Regions from separate parts of the Mus musculus genome. Here regions 2 and 3 are each reported to be linked to region 1. The links are microRNA targets in miRTarBase. Many come from high-throughput screens and were not tested one by one. Region 1 holds a microRNA gene; each other region holds the end of a gene's coding sequence.

Region 1 (3,000 bases):
ATGTGTCAGGGTGGTTCCCGGGCAGTAGAGGCTCAGGTTCTAGCAGGATTTAATCTGACTATAGCCCTTCCCATTGATGGCACAACTTCAGCTCCCCCCAACCTCCCCGTCTGCTTCTTGGAGCTTTCTTTGTCTGAAGTTGGGCTAATGAGACCCAGCTTTAGAGGCCAAGCTAATGAGGCACTAGGTGCATCCCCCCCACACCTTGTGCATTTATTATGCGCTACACATTTGTGGCTGTCTGCTGAGCACTGTCTGGTGGCCGGAATCCATGCCCTAGAAGAGATGCTGCAGATTGGATCCCGAGGCTCTGGGCTGGGTTTGTCAATGTTAGAGACCTGGAATTGGGGATTGGAGCAAGACAGTGTTCCTCTCACCTGTCCCCATCCGAGAAGACTGGTTCCCATGCACACTTGACAGGGAAAATTGGGTCAGATTTGGGTGGAGTATGGGACAAGTGCAGAGCCCCCCCCCCGGGGGGGGGTACTTGGCTGTGAGGAAGTTCTAGGAATCCAGGAAGTGAATTTAGGGGCCTGGTAGAGTGGTTTGGGGTTATTGATATTTCTCTGTGTGCATTTGTATGTGTGTGTGTGTGTGTGTCAGGGATGTCCTATGAGTGTTTTCTAAAGGGTTGCGTGGAGTTAGAGGGCCACTCGTGGGAGTGTGGTAGTGAGGTCATTGTGGCTATGCACTGGGGGCTTTGTGGCAAGCCTCGGAGTTATAGCCAGGGTCACAGGTGTGTTTGGGAGTCAGCTATGGTGGTGTTGAGGGTATAGGATGAATAGCAGAGTAGCTCCAGCCCCAAACTCTGTGGGGACCTATTTCTTTTCTTGCTGCCCCACTGGGAAGCTTGGGACAACTCTGCAAGTGGGTCCCTGGGTAAGAGGAATCTCTGAGGTCTGGGACCAGGAGGTTGAGTGGCAGGGCACAGAATTCAGGAGGCTGAGCAGCGTGAGTGGGGGCAGTGCTGATAGGAGACCAATGGCGTTGCCCATCTGCAGAGGCATTACTTGACGTTTGATGTTGTCACCAGGAAAGTTGCAGAATGAAAATAACTTTTGGGCAAATATGATTATGATGTCCAATCAGGAGCAGCCTTTCATCGCTGGAAACTGCTGACTTCCTCTCCGCTAAAGACAGGTACAGGTGACACTCAGTGGCACTGAAGGAAGACAGACCATTGATCAGTGTCATCGTCATGTGTGGGAGCCCGGTACTCCTGCTTCCTCCTCCATGGACCTGGAAGAGCTGGACTCCACATGGAACCCCTGAATGCTCATGAAAGCTAAAGTGTTGGGGAGATGGCAGGGCTAGGAGTAAAACATGGCGCTCTGGATTCTGACACATCTGAGTTCAAGTTCACCTCGTGCCACTGCACTTAGAAACTGTGAGTCTATGTGGGCAAGCTTCAGTATCCTCACCTTCAGAATGGGAGCTGTCTCTAATTCTTGACTTTTCAATCATGCGACATAGAGCCTGGCACAGATGGTTGGGACAGGTGCAGCTGAAAAGACTGGAATGCCATGTGAGTTAGGATGTGGCTTACTGTCCCAGGGGCTGAGGCCTGACAAGAGTCCCAATGGAGTAAACAAGAGAAAGTGAAAGAGAGAGGGAGAAGGATGGGGTGGCTAGATAACGTCAGGGAGGTGGAGGGGAAAGGAGTGAGGGCAGTTTAAAAGATGGAACAGGGTTTGAGGAGTATCCGTCCAAAGGAAGCTGGGCAAGGCGGCCATTCAGACTGAAGGCCTAGGTCAGGCTGGCTGGGAAGGATTGTTGAGCAGCCTATGGCTGTCCCTAGTGTGTAGCCAAGGCGACATCTTTCTGGTCATGCTACTTTAGTTACTTAACTAGCCAGTAAAAGCAAAAGGCCAGGCAAGTGCAGGTCCCAGGCTTCTGTGAAGGATGGCACTACTGGGAGGATTTCTGAGGGTGGCCAAGAAGCAGCTCTTTCCCCTGCGAGTCTCTGAGTCTCTGCTCAACAGAGTTGGCCTCCTGGAGAGGCTTCCTCATCTGTGATGCCACGGAAGACAGGGCCGAGGTGCTGCGACCAGGCGGTTAGGAGGTCTCTGTGTTGGGCGTCTGTCTGCCCGAGTGCCTGCCTCTCTGTTGCTCTGAAGGAGGCAGGGGCTGGGCCTGCAGCTGCCTGGGCAGAGCTGCTCCTTCGAGGGACACACTGCTGGCTCCTCTCTCTGGTTACAGACTCACGACGTCATGCCTCTGGTCTACAGCACACCTGACCTTCACAGCCAGCATGGGCATCACTATGCCAAGTCAGGGAAGATCCTGGAAGTCTGGCCCTAAGGACAGAGTGGCGAGGGAGTGGACATGACTGAAGATGGGCTCTGAAGAAGTGTAGTGAAGCTTAGGTCAGGTCCACTTCGTCAGATAAAGCTGCATCTGGAGTCCTTCATCCAGGGCTGTGTGGCAGGGTAGAGAGCAGCAGGGACTAAATGTCTCCCAGCTGTGGGGCAGGTTACAGACTCCAGCCCTGGGAGAAAGTGGGACAAGGTGCTAAGGGCACACAGGGAGGGCAGGCTGGGAGTTCTATTAAGTGTCCAGGCGACAGAGATGTTGCAGAGAACTCAAAGATGAAGAAAATGACATTGAAGACCAAGGGGTAAGGTTATACCTGCTCGTGGGGTTGGCCTCCTAGCTCCACAGTGACAAAGCTGCTGGGATGGGGGAAGCCAGCAACCTACAGTCTGCCATGGCTCAGCCTGAGCATGAAGTGGAGAGTTTAGTTAAGGCTCTATATGAGAATGAGCTAAGTGAGCATCCAAGGTCACTGTGAAACAACATCAACACAGAAGCCATGAACCTGCTGGAAGGAAGACAACTGGAATATGTTCCCAGCTCTGCCGTGAACTTGCTGGGTTCTTAGACAAGTCCCCTCCCCTCTCTCATTTTCATCATCTGGATCCTCTGTATAACTGAGAGCTGGGCATTTTCAGTCTGTCTGAATGGCATGCTCCTCTCAATAGAGTGCAGTGGGGTGGGGCA
Region 2 (3,000 bases), not on the chromosome of region 1:
TGCCAACAGCCAATAGTTGGGCAGAAGAGACATAGACGGCTTGGCAGGTCAGAGGAGAACCATGAGGGGGAGAAGGTGAATGGGGAAGCCTCATGATCCTGAGGGCTGGCCAATTGGAGTTAAGAGCAGCCCAGATGAAACATAGTAATAACTCAGGGTTATCAATAGGAAAGTAGATTCTAATAGCATAGAGGGTAGAGAGATAGCTGCACAGCTCTTGTGCTGTTTAAGGCTTATTGTAAATAATAAAGGTTGTGTGTCTTTTATCCACGAACTGAATGATCAAGGTGGGATAGAAACCCCAAATTGGGATTAAAAAATTCTACAGCAGAAGAGAATACTAGAGGTGGATGAAACCCGGCATATGAATGAACTTCACGCCTGAAGGGCTCCCCAAGAACTGATGGAACACGTGCACTTAGTAGGTACACTGGGGCACTGGGAGAGGACAGTGGGATGTGGATCGTTTCTTTTTGTGGTCCTTTGGTGAACAATAGGTACTCACTGCTAAGAATATCTGATATCTGAAATATTGGAGGCGCAACTGAGGTTAGGGCTAAGAGAGAAATCATGCATGGACCAGCCCTTCTCAACAGCACTGTGGTTTTCCCCATAGAGTTTATAAAGAGGAGTTAATTGGAAACACAACGGGATCTTCACTGATTAAAGTGCCAGAATCACATTTGGAATGGACCCAGGCAAAAAAGGGCCTTAAGAAGCTTACATAGTTCTCATCTCTGCTCTCCATGGACATGATGGAAGTTAGCCACAATAGCTTTCATTTTAAATCACAACCTGGAGCCAGAAGCAACTGGAAAATTCCTGTATGCGGAATGACTTTGTTAGTATGTGGTTAACAGAGGCAGTTCTAACTAACACTGGGGGCTTGGTAGGCACCCAGGTCTTGGCTAAGGAAAGGCTTGGTCTAAGGGGTTCAATCTCTGCTATAACATTACATTTCTTCTCAAAGAACTAGATTCATGTTTTGTGAAGAGTAATTCCAGAAGGAGCAGAATTCTTCCATTAAATATTTTAATGAAATCCTATCTGGCACTGCCCCTAACCAGAGGGCACTCATTATCCATGAAAAAACAGACAAATGGTTACAATCAATTTGCTACACACCTAAACAGAGGTAATTAATTACAAGTCAGTGTTTGCCATCTGCCCCCACCCAGAGCTGAGGGCAGATGCTCCATAGAGAAGCAGATGCAGGAGGTTGACCCAGTTCAGCTGTTGGCAGAAGTCATATTTGATGTACCACGTCGGTACAGCTGCCCAAGGCAAGAAGGTAGTAAAGTTTTACTGAGCACCTAGTCAGGTGGGTGCCATTTTTCCAGCTATTAGTCACCCGTAGCAAACTGAAGTCTACCTCCTGCTGCTTGGTACCAATCACCCCATTTCCTCTTAAACCTTTCAGTGTACTGTGTTGATGCCTCACACCCAGCCTGAACCAACTTTTCAAAAGTGGTGAAGATTTGGTTTTACTACGTCTTGAAGAAGAAAGGTGAGGGTGTGTAGAGGTCTGAAACTGGGGTTGGAGAGATGGCTCCGTGGTTAAGAGCACTGACTGCTCCTCCAGAGGTTCCGAGTTCAATTTCCAGCAACCACATGGTAGCTCATAACCCTCTATAATGAGATCTGGTGCCCTTTTCTGACCATGCAGAACAGGCATGTATACATAATAAAGAAATCATCACCCCAAAGCAGCGTGGCCTGGAGTAGTTAAGATTGGTGTATACAGCACATGGCATGATACTCTTTTTGTTTCTGTATGATCCCTAAGAAGAGACAGATTTCACTTGTGGGAACCAAGAGCCACTCTTCCAAGAATGACCAGGGGCTGGAGAGATGGCTCAGTAGTTAAGGCCACTGTCTGCTCTTCCAGAGGACCTGGGATTCAATTCCCAGCACATGGTGGCTCACAACATTTGTAACTCAGTTCCAGGGGCTCTGATTCTCTCATCTGTCCTCCTTTGGGTACCAGGCCCAATCATGGTGTAGAGATATACATGTAGGCAAAACATTCAAACCCGTAAAATATAAATAAATAGTTAAACTATGCATATACTCCTTAAAAAAAAAAAAAAAAGAACAGTTGACCAGAGCCCAGACTACCAATTACTCAGAAGGCTGAGGTGAATCACACATTCAACCTCTCTCTCTCTCTCTCTCTCTCTCTCTCTCTCTTTCTCTCTCTCTCTGTCTCTCTCTCTCTCTCTCTCTCACACACACACACACACACACACACACACAAACCTGGGCACAAAATAGACTGATTAGGTTTTCTGAAGAGCTACCCTGTGGGTAAAGTATTAAGCTTACCCTAGACTGGGTTTACAAAGGAGAATGCAATAAATAGCCTCCTAAAAATTAGCACCATCCTACAAGGAAACGGCCCGCATGTGAGGTAGAGAGCTCCTTTTCAGCGATGGCCTATCACTTGGCAGGAGTGTTGCAAATATGGAGCCAAACTCAGGCTTTCCCCATGATACAGAAATAGAGGCAGAGCAGGGGAGGTTCTGCCTTCTATAAATGAGTCTCCTGACTGAATATTATCTGTATACACAAACCAAGAAGGCAGCCCCTAAAAGAGGCTGGGAGAAGAACACACCCATATTATTTTAAGACAAGTTAGCTTGGAAAACTTTAATCACATGGCATCATGTCGCCTGGTAACTGTTTCAGACATGCTGTAGGGCACCCAGTGTTCTGGGTTCGGGCTGTGGAGCAGCGGGCCAGGGCTCTGGGTCTGCTCCCATTCTGTAGGACCTCTGGCAGCTACTCCTGAGTTTTGCACCCTTCCATAAAGTGACTTTCTGTCATCTTTGTTATGCTAAAGAGCACTGCTCCTCTGGCTGGGCCCTCCTATAAGAGGTCTAGGGCTACCATTGGGGGTGTTGGGGCAGCACTTGTGGACAGCCAGGGACCACCTCTGGCGGAAGCACCGGCCACACTCAAGGCAGGGGAAAGGCTTTTCCCCAGTGTGCAGAAGCTGGT
Region 3 (3,350 bases), not on the chromosome of region 1:
TATATGTATATATATAGAAAATATATACTCTCACCAGTTTATTCTTCTGTAAGATGTAGCAGAGAATAAACAGGTAATGCTACCTTACTGATGTCAATGAGAGCTGTAGTACCCATTCACAAATGACTTTATTAGGAAGAAACTGCCCAGATATCGAAAATAGTCCTCGAAAATGTGTATGTGCATATTTGAATCTACATATGCAAAGTGAATTTGTGGATGTATTATGCCCTTTCTCTTCTTTAAGATTTCTCTAAACAAAACATGGGGGGGGGGTTATTCTCTAGAAAGTCAGAACAGCATCCTTCATAGGCATGTTTATTTTTGTCTTACATATTCTCATTCCAACAAAAACAAAACAAAACAAAGCGAAGCGATGCTGGCTCTGGACGTTTCCCTGACCTAAGTGCTGTTCCATTGTAAGAAGACTACTGCGCCGTGAACAGAGGACGAACTCCAGCATCCTACAATATATTTCTAAGGCTCCAGCCCTTTCACCATGACCAAGAAAAATGACTAAGTGTAAAGCTTATTTATATAGTGTAGACAATGAGATTGTCACAGTATAAACATGGAGTAAAGTACCTCACTGGCCAGTGGAATTTTTCATAGCAGAATAAGCATACACGTTCTCCTTTCTCTGATGTTGCATAACATACACTCTGGTTACCATATAACATACCCATTAACTATTTACAAATCATCTTGAGAAAAAATAACCATTTAGAATTTTAGGTAATTAAGAAATAATGTCCATTTGTAATATATATAAAAAAAATCTTAGAAACAACTTCAAGTATGTATAACAATTCCAAATAAACTTCTTCCTACTTAACTGCTGAGTACACAGTAAGTTTTTGATAAGTCAGTTGTTAACCTGGCTCAAAACTGAAAAACAAAAAATATTGCCTGGAGGAGGAACTGTGGGCTATAAACAAATGAACTTAAAAACCAACCTGTTTCAAGACTGAAATTCCACGTGGCTCAATTATATATTAAGTTCTTTCAAGACAATGTCAGTATTTACTTTTAATGCCTGTTTAAAATGAATTGATCCGTGAAGTGACTGTGCAGGTCCTGTCATGGATTGATAAGTGCCCTTTGATTTGGTTTCAGGTAATCTGAGTTTGATGTCTTTCTTGGGTTGAATCTGTTAACTCCATAAACACTGCTGTGCAGAGGACAGTTTGACTAGCAGGTAAGGATGTATTCAAGAAGTTTCCCAACCGTCCTGGGATCACCTGAGTTTGCTAAGTGGCCCTGTTATTCCACCCCTAAGGCTAATTAAGTTAATCTTACTAATTAGAGCAAATAAATAATCACAGATTTTCCTGAGATGTTGACCCAGATAGGAAAGTTGTCCCCTCTACCCAATTTTTTTTTTTTGTCATAAAAAGTATTCCGAACCCGATTTCCAAAGATATAATAGTAAGATTGGAACTATGATATTGCAAATTTTGAGTGGATATGTGACTGTATTGGGGGAAAAGTATAGGCATCAGATAGTTACTTTAAAGTCTCATGTTCTGGAAAAGTCCTAAGCCACAGTTTTCAAACATCAGTGTGCGGAAGAAGCACATACAGAACATGTCAGGATACAGGCGGAAGGAGGACGCCCGGGTCCACTTGGAGACGGTGTTCTGTAGACCTGAGATGCTGCCTAGGAGTCTGCATTTAAATAACTGTTCCAGAGACTCATGTGATAGTCAGATGAATGCAGTGTCTCTGTCCAGAATTAAGAAATCCTGGTTGTAAAGTCACGGGTCCCACAGGAGTGGTGAGGATCAACTTTCAAAAGAGACGGTAAAAACCATCCAAAGAAAACCCATTTCTGCTTTTGTTAAAAACGATTTCTAAGTAGTCAATTGTCCAGGAAACAGCCTGAAGGTGAGTGAAGATTTCCTTCTCTAATTTTGAAAAAGGAGGAGTATTAATTTAGTAAAGTAGTCAAAATATAAAAAAATGGAAATCTGCCTTTTATTTTTAAGGATCTATTAAACTCCCCTCTATTGTAATCAATTGTTACTAAATAGTAAAAGGTTTAAAGAAATATATATATTGAAAAGGTCTGGGGTGGGGCAGACTCATTGGGAACCGCAAAACCCCTTCCAAGAGTTAAAAAGAATTTTGTTTAGCAAAAGTGAAAAAATGTAAGCATTGCTTTTTCTTACTTTTAGACTGATGAGGTGTGAATCAGCACAAGGCTTCTGGGTTTTTTTTTTTTTCCTAATTTGGTTATCTTCCAAATAGCTAACAGTTTGGATGTTACAAACACGTTATGTAGGCTGGCTTCTGAGATGGGAAATGAACAACCCTAATAAAGACAGCAAGTTGCATCAATCCACTACTGGTGAAGTTGTGCATTTTAATGTATGCCTCTTATTTACGATTATAAAAACAGGTTCATTCGTAGGCTAGTCACAGTTGTTATCTGATGCATACAGAAATAGTAAACAACCAACCTCGAGTTCAATTGTTTCCTCATGACATCTAATGTTAAGCAAAAATTAGTATGCATATTTAAACATCACCAGTGACCAATACTTTCAAAAGGAAGGAGTTTCAGTTATACCATGCTTTTCTCAAATCATGCTCTTATTTATACAGATCTCAAGTTCATACTGACTAAATTTTAAAAAGACCCAAAGTGGTATGGCAGGTACACATTTATTCTGACTCTTTTTTTATGGTGAGCGCGTTTCCCAGAAGTCCATACACTTCTCCATTTGTACTGTGTGGGCGAGAAGCATTATTTCCCATATGGCTATTGTACGGGCTTCTTAGATTAAAGAAAGAAGCTTTAGTTTCTGCAGCGGGAAGTAGCTCTTCTTTGACTGTAACCTGTGAGAGACTCTCGGCTGACGCAGGCTCCCTCCAGATGTCTTTGTCCTGGGTTTCTTGTGTGGTAACAGAATTGCCCCCTCCCTTCTGGAGCATGTAATAGAGGATCGGATTAGTTTTGGTCAGTCTTGGAGAGTCTTTTTCGTATTCATTCTTATCCATATCTGCGATGACCCACTTAATGGGTCCCTTCTCACCGGGCACGGAACATCCATTCAAAAGCCCAGGTTCTGGTCTGGACCCCACACAGCCCAAGTGCTCTGGGAAAGGAGGGCTCAGAGGGGTCTTTACCATTCCCGGGTATGAAAATGTCCTATGATCCGTCACACAACTGCCAGGCTGCGGGGAACTATACATCAGTCCATTTAAAGAAGAAATGCCGAATTCAGGTTTGCTGCCGGGCGCGTTGTTTTTGTGTCCTTTCTTTTTCGTGTCGGGGACAGAGTCACTCCTGTGTGGGGACAGATCTCGCACACAGTTCTCGGAGAGCAGCAGCTGCTTGAGAACAT

What was found. The annotated mature microRNA mmu-miR-346-5p reads UGUCUGCCCGAGUGCCUGCCUCU and lies in region 1 at 2,081-2,103, shown strand. An mRNA with a match to its seed (bases 2 to 7 or 8) in the 3' UTR can be bound and repressed. Matches are read on the target gene's strand: a 7mer-m8 pairs with bases 2 to 8, a 7mer-A1 pairs with bases 2 to 7 and ends in A, and an 8mer does both.
Region 2: miRTarBase lists Zfp689 as a target of mmu-miR-346-5p. Seed matches in the 3' UTR shown: 7mer-A1 at 1,874-1,880.
Region 3: the mRNA of Nrip1 is a reported target of mmu-miR-346-5p. The part of its 3' UTR that is shown has no 7-base or 8-base seed match.

The regions. Positions count from the first base shown.
Region 1 is chr14:34,892,544-34,895,543 of GRCm38, forward strand. Mir346 (microRNA 346) reads left to right here and starts at 2,066; the gene lies at 2,066-2,163. The region is part of intron 2 of Grid1 (glutamate receptor, ionotropic, delta 1); the gene reads left to right.
Region 2 is chr7:127,441,118-127,444,117 of GRCm38, forward strand. It overlaps Zfp689 (zinc finger protein 689), which reads right to left. Exons shown (of 3, transcript NM_175163.3): 3 at 1,019-3,000. The coding sequence ends at 2,837. Among named protein-coding and RNA genes, the nearest start is that of B130055M24Rik, 5.8 kb to the right of the region's middle.
Region 3 is chr16:76,288,515-76,291,864 of GRCm38, forward strand. It overlaps Nrip1 (nuclear receptor interacting protein 1), which reads right to left. Exons shown (of 4, transcript NM_173440.3): 4 at 1-3,350. The coding sequence ends at 2,668. Among named protein-coding and RNA genes, the nearest start is that of Gm30569, 11 kb to the right of the region's middle.